2 linked regions of the Danio rerio genome follow. The protein of the gene in region 2 interacts with the protein of the main gene of each other region in a biochemical or structural test. Links are inferred from orthologs where the notes say so. Each region holds a gene or a part of one and is shown on either strand. Other genes may lie near its edges.

Region 1 (7,764 bases), on a different chromosome or scaffold from region 2:
TCTATTTATTTACTTAATCAAATGTGTTTAAGAATTATTTTAAGCAGTTTTTTTTGATAATTTTATTATTGAGTAATATGCAAATGTTCAGGAATTGTGTACAATATTGTTTGTGAAGTAGTAGATTATGCAAGAGACTAGCTTTGTTTTACTAAAAAGGGAGTTAAATGGATTTGTGTTTTAAACCTTATAAGCATTTGTTATAGGTTTACTTAATAATATACTCTATTATACTCTCAGAATCATTCCACATAAATCAGCAGATTTTTTTTTTTTTAATTCAGTGCAAAAATGACAACAACAACAAAAAAAAGTTTGCAGATTCTAGCCCTGCTTATAAGCCAGCACTGGCCAACCAGCCTATATGTGCATCAGACAAGAAGTGACCATGACATCAGCAATGATGAACATCTATATGCCTGGTGTAAACTTGAAATAAGTACACACAGATTTTTTGGAAGCAAAATATTGCCTTCAAGCTATCTCATCTTTTGGCTTAGGCTAATTGGATATTGAAAGCCACTTACAAAGTCCTACTTACAAAGATGTGATGATCTGCAGTTGACATGGTGGCTTCGCTGCTAAATTAGACAAAACAGGCTGATAATCCCAACTCAAGAGCTTTTCAAAGAGCTTCCCAGAGAAGTCCTAGTGATGTTACTGGACAGCTAAACACACTGAGAGAAAAAAAGTTAAGTAATAATTAATAAAATAAAAGTAACCTTTTGTAAATGACATGGGTTTTCTTCATTTGAATGAAGCTGCAACCCTATTTACACAAAGATTTTACACTTATGTTACACACTTTTATCCTAGCATAACACACTGTAGTGAACAAAAATAGCATTCTAAAATATACCTTAATTTCCTTGCAATAAACCAAATGCACAATATTTGAAGCAGTGCATGTAGACTATGAGAGAAAGGAGCAGTGGTAGGCCATACAAATGAACTGAAAGATGAAATGGGAAGTGTGCAATCAGTTGAAGAAATTGTGAAAGCCTACCTTCCATCCCCAACTGTCCATATACACAAATAACAATAGAAACAAAACGTTAGCATAAAAGTCAGCATTGAACTTTGTTGCATTAATGCATAGTCTAATGCATTAGTTCCATTTTATAACAGTATGTCATGTCGCCTGATCAAAAGCACCGAGCGAGAACAAGTTCACTTCACAGCAGAATAAAAGTGCGTGATGATGACAGAGGAAGAGAAATGAAACCTCCGCACTATAACACGCATCAGGCCTATATTTTGCACTTTTTAGCATATACATTGTTTGTGACGTAGGCCACTATTTGTACAAATTTTGTGACGCAAAAATTACTACCACTTATCTCGCAGATTATATGCCTCAAAGTAGACTAACAGAAATCCTCAAATGCTCAAGTTCCAGGCGCGCGTTACAGCAGCAGTCCCGTTAAATGGCCAGTCATCATGATATTGTGTCGAAGTTTTGTAATCTACCTTTGAAAGTCCCAGATGATCAGAGATCTTCTTTAGACATTTAAACAGCATATTCTGAGTCAAATGGAAAAGTTAGGCTTTTTTTTAACTACCCGCATGCATATTCGACGTTTCCCTGAGTTTAGCACCGCTATTCCGACAAGACATTAGGATGTTATGAACTCCGTTTACCTGCAGTAAAACAACTAACAAACTGAATAATCCATATTTATCTTACCCTGGGCCGGAGTGCACGTCAAGCCAGAAATCCAGAGAAAGATAGAGAAAAACCATTCGTAGTAGTCCTTCAATGCAGAGAGTGCAGTATCTTCAAGTGAAGAGGAGGCACTAAAACTGCTCTCCTGAAGTGTCATCCTCGAGTCGTCCCGCATATCTTAATGCATCCTGCTTTTCATATTGGCTGCATATTAAAAGTACATCTACAGGAAATTTGCTATTAACTTTAAGTATTGAACATTAACATTTAAAGACTAAAAATGTATGCAATTGAATGACTTTGTGATGGGAAAACTGAATAGTTGGCTAAATTTCATGCAAATTTTTGCTAAATTGCTAAAATGCTAAATTTTTCAGTGGTAACGGAGCTGATGAGGAAAAAATCATAGTTCAAAAAATCATTCATTTCTGCCACAAGGTGGCAGTTTTATTACATTCGATACGAACATCAACAAATAGTGGCAGCATAAGGATGTTCAAGATTAAGAATTATAAATACATTTGAAAAGGTTGTTTAAAAGCATATGCCGTTGTTAAATAAATGCAAAATGTGCTTACTGTTTTCGTTTTAAAAATTTATTTTTAGTAATTGCATTTCTCATTGTATTGTAGGCCTGTGTATTTTTTATTATAATTGTTTTAGTAAATGTAATTAGTTTATCTATAGGTCTAATTACGATTAAATCGCATTATAGTCTATTAATCATGCAATAGTAGATTTTGTTATTAGCCCACCTTTTTTATTTTAAATTTTCTTTTGATTTAAATTAGACTTTTATTTTTTAAAGTTATTTTCTGAGGTGCCCCTAAAAAAATGATGAATCCAAATTTAATTTCAGGAATTGAAAAAATGCTTATATTTTAAATATATTTTTTAATAATATGAAAAATCTGCGGAAATGAGCCTCATATCGACCAATAAAATCTGATCACTCAGATGATGTATCAAAATATTGTTATTGTTTATTACCATTTTATTATTATTATTATTATTATTATTATTGTGCTATTGATTAGAAGCCGTTTTGATATAGTACAGTAGCAGCCTATATGGCAAAATGGTTGCAATTTTAAGGTTATAAGGCATAAATAAAGTATATGCAGTATTCGAGATTTGTGATGATGACACTGAGCAGGTAGCCTACGCCATACCAAATAAACGATTATATCATTGTATCCTCTTGCAGTGCGTGAGTCACGTCCCAATTCATTCAGTCATTGCGTCATCGGCTCCTCATAAAACGGCTCCTCTCGCACTCGGAAGTTGATTCAATACTCTGAACTGGCGAGGTACGACTCGAGACATCAAACACGCCACTGGAATGAAAAGTTCGGTATTATTTATTTTTTTGCTTCTGGGCTTCGTGGTTTGCACAGGAGGTAAGCCTACTAATTTCTTGTTTTTCTTTCATATTTATATCTAGCCTGTTATATTTTATGAACTATATGTTATATCATTGTTGTTGGCATATTATAAAACTGATGTATTTACTTATTTATTTATTTTTGTGGTGCAGCGAACCCTTGTTGCTCCCATCCCTGTCAGAATCGAGGTGTCTGTACGGAAATGGGCTCCGACGCGTATGAATGTGACTGTACACGGACTGGATATTACGGTCAAAACTGCACAACACGTAAGTGAGAAGCTCCACAAACATATAGAGGAAGTTTCTCTGCCCATTTCTGCTTTTGGCTCTAACTTTTACTCTGTTTTATTTTTTCACAGCCGAGTTTCTCACATGGGTGAAAGTCTCTCTGAAGCCTTCTCCCAACACTGTGCATTACATTCTCACACACTTCAAAAGCTTGTGGAATATTATCAACAACGTGTCGTTTCTGAGAAACGGCATAATGCGATACGTGCTGACATGTAAGTATAAAGCAGTCCCTCTTTTCCTGTAAGAAACGTCTTTTAATTCATATTATTAATGAGAATTTAAAATATTATTATATTTTTTATGATTAAATCATTAAAGGATAATTCAGCCATAAATTAACATTTTGTTATCATTTGCTCATTCTTTTCTTGTTTCAAACATTTATGAGTTTTTTATCTTTTGTTAAATGCAAAAGAGGATTGAAACCTGGAACCAATGACTTCTATATTGGTTATTTTCCTTGGTAAGGAAAAAACAAATATTAATTGTTTTTCCTTCTATGCACTCTCAGAAAAAAAGGTACGAGAGCTGTCACTGGGGTGGGTACCTTTTCGAAAGGTACATATTTGTACTTTAAAGAGTTCTTATTAATACCTTGAGGGTACATATTAGTACCTAAAAAGTGCAAAAGTGTACCTCTTGAAATGTTAAGGTATTAATATATACCTTTGCAGTACATATATATGCCCTGTAAGTACAAATATGTACCTTTTGAAAAGGTACCACTCCAATGATAGCTCTCGTACTTTTATTTCTGAATGTGGATGTCAGACTTCAGCTTTCTTAAAAGTATCTTTTTTTGTGTTAAGAAAGAAACTCATAAAGGTTTGGAACCACTTGAGTGTGTTTTAAATATTTAATAAGATAAAATTTTGGGGTGAATTATCCTTTTACCTATCCGTTTAACTAAGAGATGTCCAAACTAGGGCCTGCGGGTCAAAGTTGGCCCATAGAAACCTTACAAATAAAATACAAAATGTTGTTACTCAACGGATAATGCAGAAGACATTGGCAAGCAAATCAAGGCAAAAACAGGTGCAGGTTGACTAGTTTAACTGCATACTGTTATAAATTGGATTGTTTTTTTGTTTTTTTTACTGTAATAAGTCCACTATAAAATGTAAAAAATATACTGCATTAGTTAATATGAAGCAATGTTTTCTAGTTATTTTAAAATTTGAAATAAATTAGGAAATTACCAGTGGCAACTTTAAAAAACTTTTATATATTTACGTTCGGCCCACCACCCTCAATCAAGTTAGGTTTTTAGTCCTTCACATGAAAAAGTTTGGGCACCCTGCGTTAACTAAACATGTCTTAATCATGTCTAATGTACATTACAAATATGTTGCATACTTAAAAATATGACTGAATATAATATTTTTTTCCAGCACGTGCCCATCTGATCGATAGTCCTCCTACATTCAATGCTGACTATGGTTACAAAAGCTGGGAAGCCTACTCTAATCTCTCCTACTATACTCGCACATTACCTCCTGTCCCGCGTGATTGCCCAACGCCAATGGGAGTCGCAGGTGAGCCTCTTTCTCCTCAGACCTGTTTTCTCACATTTCTTAGCATTCACATTTACAACTGGACAGGAAGCTTGAGGTCACAAATAGCTCACTTGAGCCTTGGGTGTGTGGATAAGCAACTCATTAAAAGAAAGATAAGATGTGACAGTAATGAGTCATAGAGGCTAAAAAGTTTTAGACACTGTAGAGAGAATAAATGATTGCATAAATAGTTTTTGCACTTACAGTACCTGTAGATAGTGTTTCATGTTTGGGTTGGAGTATAAACTCAGACATGAGGATGGAAGTAGGCTCTGTTTCTCATGAATTCCCCTGTTTTGATAGGTAAGAAAGAGCTGCCAGACGTGAAGATGCTGGCAGAGAAACTGCTTCTTAGGAGGAAGTTCATCCCAGATCCTCAACGCACCAATCTTATGTTCGCTTTCTTCGCCCAACATTTTACTCACCAGTTCTTCAAATCTGACATGAAGAAAGGTCCAGCTTTCACAACAGCCCTGAACCATGGGGTGCGTATTTGATAGATGTGACATTCTATATGCCATAAACATGTTTATGACTATCTGTATCATGAAGTTTAGTATATCACTGACTTTACTTATGTCTTTTAGGTTGATTTAGCTCATATATATGGACAAAACCTTGATCGACAACACAAGTTGAGACTTTTCAAGGATGGCAAGTTGAGATATCAGGTATGGAATATCTCTAACCCAAAATTAATCTCATTAAATCTCATCCTCATATAGCTTTGTTACTCACTTTTTTTTACTCTTGTGTTTTGCATTTGACTAAACTCATGTTCTTGCTTTAATTAGATTCTGGATGGTGAGGTTTACCCTCCAACAGTCAGTGAGGTTCAAGTAGACATGCATTACCCTCCTCATGTACCTGAATCTCGTCGATTTGCTGTGGGTCATGAGGCCTTTGGGCTGGTTCCCGGACTTATGATGTACGCCACCATCTGGCTGCGTGAACATAACCGAGTGTGCGACATACTAAAGCAGGAGCATCCTGACTGGGATGATGAGAGGCTGTTTCAGACCTCAAGGCTCATCCTTATTGGTGAGTGTCCTGCAGAAAAGGACATTTAGATTGGCACAAGTAGGCTCAAAAGGAATCTGCAGATTTCCTCAGATTTTTTTGGCCATTATTGAGTGTATATATATATATACATACATACATACATACATGCATGCATATATACATACATGCATATATTTACTTACAATATAGAAATGTGCGTAAATATAGATTTATTCAGTTTTTATATTCGTTTCATTAATATTATTGAAAATACACCAATTTTTATATGGTTTATGTACAAAACAATTTATAGGGTAGTTTTATAATATATGAGAGACTAACTTTATTTACCAAACAAGTGGTTTTTATAGAATTTGCACTGTAAACCTTAAAAAATAAAATAAATATTACTATTTTTTTAAAGTTACTAAAACCTCATAGGCATTCTGCATATGTCTGCAGATTTGTTTACAAATAATAAGTGTCAATAAATTCAATTATGAGCAGTAATGGCTAACAATGTCTGCAAATTTCTCTCTGGCTCTCATCACAAATGAACAAAAATATCCCAACATGGTTAAAAATGTAAAGTGAGTGGCTAACGTTTGGTCTGTTTTCCTTATCAACAGGTGAGACTATTAAGATCGTGATCGAAGATTACGTCCAGCACCTTAGTGGATACTATTTTAAGCTCAAGTTTGATCCCGAACTACTCTTCAATGAGCGTTTCCAATACCAGAACAGGATCTCCTCTGAGTTCAACACACTTTACCATTGGCACCCCCTCATGCCTGATGATTTTCACATCCAGGATGAAGTCTACAATTATCAGCAGTTTCTCTTCAACACTTCTATCCTGACAGATTATGGCGTCAACAGCTTGGTTGAGTCCTTCAACAAACAGATAGCCGGAAGGGTAAGTGTTTATAATTCTAAGATTAAAAATATACCCTGTTTTGGATTAGCCTGTTGTAGATACCGTTGCAAGGTGGAACCACCCATGTTTAATGAATCTTAAATCTCTTTGACTTCAGGTAGCTGGAGGGCGTAATGTAGCACCAGCAGTGTTAAGGGTGGCCATTAAGTCGATTGAAAACAGCAGGCAAATGCGCTACCAATCAATCAATGCTTACAGGAAACGCTTCAACATGAAGCCATACAGATCCTTTGAAGAAATGACAGGTGAGCATTACTAGTATCCACTGATGAGGAATTATATTTGTGCACATACAAATACACAATAAATTTCAATGCAACTTTTTGATTTAGTGGATAATTCTCATTAAATTTGTACAATCTCATTCGTACAGTTAGTACTATTTTCTTAGTCCACCAATGACAGTTGAATTTTTGGGGGCACATGTCCTTTCAAAAATAATATTTTTAACTTAACGATGCGTAAAACAGTTCAGTTTCCTCGTGAGATATGGCTTATGAAACATACGCACAAACTTTACCTAACCCCATCTGCGTTTTTAAAAGCATTCCCTGCAAATACTGTAAAAGCAGTGATGTTTCAGTAGACACCTTGAGCTGACTGAGCTTGCTTTATGTTTTAGGAGAAAAAGAAATGGCTGCTGAACTTGAAGAGATGTACGGAGATGTGGATGCTGTGGAGCTTTATGCTGGTTTGCTGGTTGAAAAGCCCAGGTCCAACGCCATCTTTGGGGAGACCATGGTTGAGATGGGTGCGCCCTACTCCCTTAAAGGACTTATGGGAAATCCCATCTGTTCCCCAGAGTACTGGAAACCAAGCACCTTTGGTGGGAAAGTGGGCTTTGAGATTGTGAACAGTGCCTCTCTGCAGAACTTGGTTTGCAATAATGTCAACGGGCCATGTCCTATGGCGTCCTTTTATGTGC
Region 2 (7,764 bases):
ATAAAGTGTGATTATCGGCCAATACCAATCTCAGACCAATCTATCGGAGCATCCCTAGCCAGTGTGCCTCTATGTTTATTTAATGAATGTTTTAAAACGTCATTTGGCACAGAAGAATGAATCGCCAACTATTTCAGCATATGTTTTAAGGCAGCGGATGCCCTTCCAGCTGCAACCCAGTACTGGAAAACACCCATACACTTATTCGCACACACTCATACAGTGCTAACCACTGAATCGTTGTGTTGCCCAACTAAAATTATTTTCAAGTTAAATTTAAAAACAAACATAAAATAAAATTACTATATAAATAAATAAATCTTTTTTTATATACATACAAGCACACAAATATTATATGATAAATTAGTCCTGACAGTATATGTTTTTAGGTCATTGTAACTTATTAAACAAAGTTAATCGTGTTCTAACTTTATTTTATAAGTTGCTCAAGCAGTTTTAAGTCAGTTTAGCTAATAGGTTCAATAAAGACATAAGGTCAATTTGATTCAGCTTAAAATTTTAAGGCAACCAGCATTTTTTACATTGTAGACATATTTAAAATAGCTTATTTGACGTTTAATAATGCAGATAAATTGAAGTTAAATGTGTAAATAATGATATATATATATATATATATATATATATATATATATATATATATATATATATATATATATATATATATATATATATATATATTACTTTTCAAATTGAATCTAAATACTCTAAGTCACCCTCCAAAAAACACAATATGCAATATGAAAACAATGTTTTCTTGGATGAACAAAAGCTGCACAAAAACAATGGAACTCTTAAACACTAACAACAGTTTTATATTAAAAACAATCATATCCGCCATGTTTATTTTGTTCCAAATCCTCAATCGCCATGGCAACAGCCTGTGACTCATTCGGAATTGTAATTCATATGCGGTGACTAAAAAACCCACCAAGTAACTACAACTCTATGAGTTCTAGAAGTTTTCTCCTATCAGCCAGGAATTATAGTACTTCAGCAAAAAAACTACTGTACATACTCTATTATTACAAGTCTAACAGTGATGATGACCATCTAAGTGGCCCGGCCTAAGACTGCTCTCTGGCCAAAAATCCCACGTGGATGAGCTATTAAAAGAATGCAGTTTTATGAGAGGAAAATATTCCGTTCCAAGGGAAAGCTACGCATGTGTTTGTGCACACAAGAATCTTTGATGTGGATGTCAGTGGGAGTGAACTTGGACCGCGAGTGCATCACGGACCAGAAAAATGCCCCATCTGCACGTATGTATGGAGAATTTGTGTAAAACGGAGATGGGAATTCCCTCTCCTACGCAAGACCACTGCGAGCACTCAACCCCTTTTAAGGACAAAATCAAAGGACTGCGTGCACAAAATGAGTTCGACTTGTGACACCAATCCCATAATTCTAAGCATGAACAGAACAATTGCTTTTAGCGTTCTCTGGATTCAATTTTCAGTCAAATCATAAAAAGCATTCAAATGCATGTGTCCTCGGGGATGTGACTCAGTGTCATGTTGTGGTGGGAGGGGAAAAGACGATGAATAAGTGAAAACAAATAAGGGTTGAGATGAATGAAGAGGATCGTTTAAAAAAGCTATAAAGCAAATCATCAAGTGACCTTTTTTTTGTTATGAAAGGAATCGCCCCACGCCCAGAATGTTAGGTGCTCAAAAACAGGAAACTGTTAATATTTCCTTTTTAAAGAAGGTTGGTTTGACAGCTTATTGCTGCATGGGAGTTCCTACAGCAACAAGCCTGTAAAAATGAGAGCACTGTGCTATTATTGTATGCACAATTTTCACAAACACATGCCACAATCGAAGTATTTCACTTTGGTACCCTGTTGATAATTGTTTCCACCCTGTTGGAATATACAACTTAAAGGGAGAGTTCACTCAAAGTGGAAATTCTATCATTTGCTCTGCCTTCTGTACCAAACCTCTTTGAGTTTCATGTTTCTGTTGAACACAAAAGAAGTTATTTTGAAGAATGTCAGGACTGGTCGTCAGTGACTTCCATAATGTTTTTTTTGTTTTGTTTTTCTATGGGTGTCACCAGTTTCCAGCATTCTACAAAATACACTGTATAATAATGCTAGGTACCACACAATAGATTTGTATTGGAACAACATAAAAGGATTGAGTTAACATATTACTTTTTACAAATATAAGTGGATGGAACATAAAAGAATTAAGTTGTCCCAATAAAAACTTAAGCTCAGCTCATTTTAAATAAGTGTTTGTCCAAACAACAAACATCATTTTCGAGTGTATTTTATTTTGTGTTCAACTAAAAAGTCAACTAAAAATGTGGAAACACTTGAAGGTGAGTAAATGGTGAGCAAATTTTCATTTTTGTGTGAATCTGTTCAGGCTGGGAACTGGTTGGTCAAGTAATGTGGTCTACAAACCAAAACACCTAAGGGGCCATTCACACAGAATGTGCTTTTCCATCTCAGTGCATTACTTTTACATTGTTTTTTTATGTTAAAGGACTTTACAGACTTGCATGACCATTATGTTTCTGTAATGCAATTTTTACAAGTTGCACCATTCTTTAATGTCAGTTCCAAAGCAGCGGACCAATCAGAATAACGGAAAGGCATGGCAAGCATCTTTGGATGCAACGATGTGTTCTGTATGAATCACCCCTAAGGAAGCTTGAAAGTGTGTTTTACTGTAAGGCCATGTTTACACTTGGTAATACTATGTTTTGCTTGATTGAAGTAGATAAAGTTATGTTTAATAATGTTTTGCTTGATTGAAGCAGACCTCATCACATATATACCAGCCATTCTAATCTGTCTCTTTTGGCCACATTTCTTTGAGAGGCTTGTGTATTTATGCACTTCAGAACTTTCAAACCAATATTGTGAAATACACTTGCACAATTGATATACAGTATGAGGAAGACACATACAAGACGTTCGTTTCTGCTCCACAAAACTATGCCAAGCTCAGTGGATTTGCAAGCCAGGCTCAATGGAAATATGTGATTCTGGCTACGTAAAAACTACAAATCGTACCTTCCGGTATAAACCCATTTTGCTGCACTGAACCTAAATGAACACCTTTTTCTAACATTTAATAAAGAGTTAATTATCTTGTTATGTTTTTTGTAGATCTTTGCATAATTTTATTTGTCCATTAAAGCGTTTTGGTGCATCTGAAAATTCCAGTGCTCTTCTACCAGCAATCAGCTGTGAGCACTTCTCTAAAAACAATGAGAGATTTTATTTCCAATGAACCTGTGCATTGTGCTCACAGTTCAGTACATTGTGCTTTTTTATTTACATTTCAAACCAAACTTACTATTTTGGGTGGCAAAGTTTAAATTGCATTTCCACTACAAAGTACATTGATCAAATGTTTGATTAGTGAAAAGAGAGGAATAATCTACTTAAATGAAAAATGTATTTTAATGCAATCCCATTTTAATGGCTGAAAGTGCATAAGCTCAAATAGTTTTGAACATCATTGAATAGTTTATAATAGTAACAAAAATGCATTTTAATACCAGCTGTAAAGCAATTTTGCAAGTAAAATTGTACATTATAATTCCCAAGTACTTGAAGCCATCATTGTTTCTACATTCAAAATTAATCGTTTCCAGTGCCACCTTGACAAACTGACCACTGACTCACCACTTTTGTTATGAAGCCAACTTTCTATTGTGTTATAATGGGAAACTATTGGGATAAAATGGTCTTACTTAGCAGTGTGTATAAACTGCAATGCACTTTAAAGACTTTTCTGAATTATAAATTAAATATAACAATGAAGGATTTGCTTTTATCTGTCCATACAAATTATATTTGCTAATATCAAGTATGCAGTTATGAATATCACATATACTAAACAATAACCTGTGAGATTCTTATTAACGTTTCCATGCAGTTAAACAAATGTCCTCATTATTTATATTTTAAATTTAAATTGAATACCCAACAATTAAAAAAGTTGCATGAACCAGACAAAGTTTGTCCTACCTTCACCACATCGTCATTTAAATGCTTTGGGTCTCGGTTGACCAGGTCAATCTCCTTGGTGTGGACATCCTGAAGTGTCTTTTCGTTGATGCTGTCGTTATCCATTTCTTTATTGTTTGGTTTGTAAATGTTCCCCTGTTTCCTGATAAACGGCGAGTGAGCGTATTCCTGCGGTTCCAAAGAAAACAGAAAATGAAGTTCATGAGCGTGGAGTGGGAGACTCGGGCGCAACTCAGCACAGCCCTGGCATGGGATGGTTTTAAGCGGATAGAAATGAAGCACCACACCCCTCTGGAACACAGTGGCGCATCCCGCCACACGGAGGCGCCATTTTACATTATGCGCCTGTTGTGCTCCCTTTTTATTCCGCAGCAGAAAATATGAAAATGCGCTCACTGCTGAAAAATCTTGTTTTTAGTTCGTGCTTAAATTATATTACTGTAACAAAATTGTTTAGACGCAGTTTCCCTTTATAAATATGTGTATTGATAAAGTACTTCTATTTCACCTGGATTAATGAGCAGTTCATATTTTCATAGCCTAGTATTATTTTATTCAGCTGTGTTTGTGAAAGTGTTGCGAAAGGGAGGCTTGCAGTACAAATACGTGCCAGGAAAAGATAAGACTTCAAATCTGCCAATAATGTAGCAAGTGTCAACACTGCCTCCGTTTGTTGATAAACCATACAAAAGGTTTGCAAATAAGTAACTAAATTAAATTTTGCTCTGTATAAAATTAATTGTCATCAAAAGTAAAAGATTTCTGAGGTAAAATAGGGGTGTTCTTCTTACCTCTTCAGGTGTCCCGTCCTTGTATCCGCTAGTCATGCTGTCCCGTGCCTGAAGTGCGATCAGATGAGTGTGAGGAAACAAGACAATCAGTACAGAGGAAGCAGTGTGGGAGGCGTGGGGATATTGCTTTCTGTGGGGAGTTTTTTTTCCCTTAAAACAGCCCTCTCTTCTGCATGCTAAAGTCCCATCAAGCTTTTATCTGAAAGCTAGTTTATCTCTCTTGAAGACTCTCACGGCACAGAGTGGGAGTTTCTCCCAGTCACTGAGTTTGTGTGTTGAATGAATGAGGAACCCTCCATTAGCCTGCCAATCACACAGCTACGCAGCATTAGTGGTTGGGGATTTTGACGTGATTTTTTCCCAAATGGGAGGCACATCTGGGCATTAGACCAACTTTTCCTGCACGATTGCCATGTATGCTAACAGGAACATGCACTCTTTTTTTCATTAGCAGTTTTAAAATTGTGTTACAGTAATGCTAATCAAAATAAAGCAACCCTAAGCATTACACTTCATTTTTTTTTTTTGCTCGTTTAAACTACTTATTTAAAATGAGTGGAAACAACACAATTCTTGAGATTTCATTGGGACAACGTTTTTTTTTTTTTGTTCAATCCACATAAATCTGTTAAAAGTGTTAAGTTAATTTAATCAATTTGTGTTGGGACAACATGAACGAATTGTGTGGAACCCTGCATTTTTACAATGTTTGAAGGTTGTTTAGAGACAATATATATATATATATATATATATATATATATATATATATATATATATATATATATATATATATATATATATATATATATATATATATATATATATATATATAAAGCAAATCAAACTATTTTTAACCAAAGTAACCTAGTCAGACATAGTCACCCTACTATTGAAGTTTGATCTGTGCCAAAAGTCGACTGATGGTAGCTTCATTTGCCCTTATTGACTGTCATATTCACATAACATAGGTATAGGTTGATTGTGTTTTCTATGTTGTATTGTTCCTACAGAACAAGAAAAAGTTCAACAGAACATGACAATGTAACACAAAAATTGAAATAATAACTGAAAAACTAAAAACAAAAGGAAATACAAACATTAACATATAGTTATTTACCTCAACAAGTGGGCAGTTACTGTACATAAGGACAGATGTAGTTTACAAAGCAGTCTATTTAATTTTGTTACAAAAAATTGTGGTGCATATTAAAATTAAACCTTTAAATGTATGAAGCACTACTGACACTCAATGTCAGATTTTCCAATTCAGAATATCCATTAAAATATGTTTTACTATTGAACTTTTTGCACTTCGGATGTATAAACCTAAAAGGTAACTACACTGAGGTCTGTTTGCATATTAAAAGGTTCCTCGAGGCAAGACTTGCACTTCAGTTTGGAATGTTTTGAACAACACTGAAGCTGCAGGTTCTTGTTTTTCTCATATTTGCCTTACTTACGTATCATTTGCTTGACTTACCTATACATCTTTTTAGGAGGCATTTATTACACCTAACAAATGTTTGTATTTCTAGGTCAGATGCTGGCAAAGCGAGGGTTGTGACAGGCAATGCAAAATATGCAAACAACGTCGCCAGTGATAGTGGCCAAAGGTTGCTGTAGGTAAAAACTCCAGCAGCACTCTTATTATATGATAGATTTGATTCTATATTATATAACTTTACATTAATTGCAAGGTTCATCTATTTGTAGCTCATAGTAAACATTTTATTATACAAAATCAGAATGCAGAATGATTTCTTAAAAACCCAGCTGTTAAGCACTCAAAAGAACACTCAAATAGACTAAATACATACAGTTTGTTACGCTGTTTTCCTCAGGCATTTTTTCCGTGTTCAGCGAGTCACCTGAAGGGTTTATCTAATTGCACAATATGTAAAACCTTGTCAGGTTAACATTCCATATGCCAAGCATTGATCTGCACAGTCTCTCAGCAAAGAAAACAAAGTCCTTCAACTTCCAAAAATTATTTTATTTGGTGAACTGTGAGGCATTTAGTTCTGTCTTTCATAAGCTGAGCTGTGTTCAGCATGTTTGCTACATGACATCACTCAACAGGGCTAAGGAAACGGCACCTGAGCTTCTAATGTTCCATTGCAGTCAAATATTCCATTTACTCTGTGGAGCCACTAACAAAGCACAATCGATGGCAAACAGCATGTCAAATGTGGCTTTGCTAGTCAAACTAATCATCATTTGCTGTTTTATAATTTCAAAAGATGTCATTAATAGAGAAGAAAACAAGGAATGTACCTAAAAATCATAAATAGCTCACACTGGAATGCCATCAAATCTTTTAAGGGTACGTTTACAGAACTAAAAATGGACATTTTTGAGCAGTTTACCTAGAAACGGGTTTCAAAATTCTACTACTACTACAGCTCTTAAAGTGTCAATTTCAAAAATGTTTATTTGTGAAGAGAATGTCATGCATTATGTGTATTTTTATGTTCAGTCTGTACACGTATTAGTGCTGAACAACCAAAATAACAATAGCAGACAAGAGCACTGTATGCGTGCCAATACACATTGTTTCTTTACAAAGTGACACCTACTGGCCAGGCATCCATAATGCTGCCAATTAATTCATTTTTGTGAGCGTGATTGTTTTTGACAATGATGTTGTCTGTATGTGATCCTTTCCATTTTTAAAGTACAAAGTTATATAAACGTACCCTAACTCCAAACAATATAAATAAAACGCTTAAAAAACCTACAGCCCTATCGGAAGTAGTTGCATATTTTTTTTCCTTACCAGCACACCATGCGCTTATTTTAATAACATTTATCATGCAGTAGCACAATATATCATCCTTAAAGAATAAATCTCAAACATTACATTAAAAGTATTGCATTATATATAACATAAAAGCTTAATTAGACTTACATAACAGTACTGAAAAAAGCATGTCTGCATAGGTGCCACCCATAACAAAGTTGACA

Evidence for each region.
Region 1: the proteins of cav1 (region 2) and ptgs2b form a complex in vitro, tested with the Homo sapiens proteins (2 studies listed by BioGRID). The link is inferred for Danio rerio from reciprocal best matches to the Homo sapiens genes CAV1 and PTGS2.

What each region holds. Positions count from the first base shown.
Region 1 is NC_133195.1:37,395,689-37,403,452, reverse strand, and holds the start of ptgs2b (prostaglandin G/H synthase 2 precursor), read left to right. Parts: upstream 1-2,971; 5' UTR 2,972-3,008; coding exon 3,009-3,066; intron 3,067-3,203; coding exon 3,204-3,320; intron 3,321-3,412; coding exon 3,413-3,556; intron 3,557-4,735; coding exon 4,736-4,879; intron 4,880-5,203; coding exon 5,204-5,385; intron 5,386-5,487; coding exon 5,488-5,571; intron 5,572-5,694; coding exon 5,695-5,941; intron 5,942-6,531; coding exon 6,532-6,818; intron 6,819-6,936; coding exon 6,937-7,084; intron 7,085-7,461; coding exon 7,462-7,764. Other genes in the region: pla2g4ab (cytosolic phospholipase A2), read right to left, coding at 542-568. UniProt on the Homo sapiens protein: Dual cyclooxygenase and peroxidase in the biosynthesis pathway of prostanoids, a class of C20 oxylipins mainly derived from arachidonate ((5Z,8Z,11Z,14Z)-eicosatetraenoate, AA, C20:4(n-6)), with a particular role in the inflammatory response.
Region 2 is NC_133200.1:19,557,508-19,565,271, reverse strand, and holds the start of cav1 (caveolin-1), read right to left. Parts: upstream 5,045-7,764; 5' UTR 4,837-5,044; coding exon 4,801-4,836; intron 4,255-4,800; exon of another isoform or gene 4,178-4,254; coding exon 4,010-4,177; intron 1-4,009. UniProt on the Homo sapiens protein: May act as a scaffolding protein within caveolar membranes. Forms a stable heterooligomeric complex with CAV2 that targets to lipid rafts and drives caveolae formation. Mediates the recruitment of CAVIN proteins (CAVIN1/2/3/4) to the caveolae.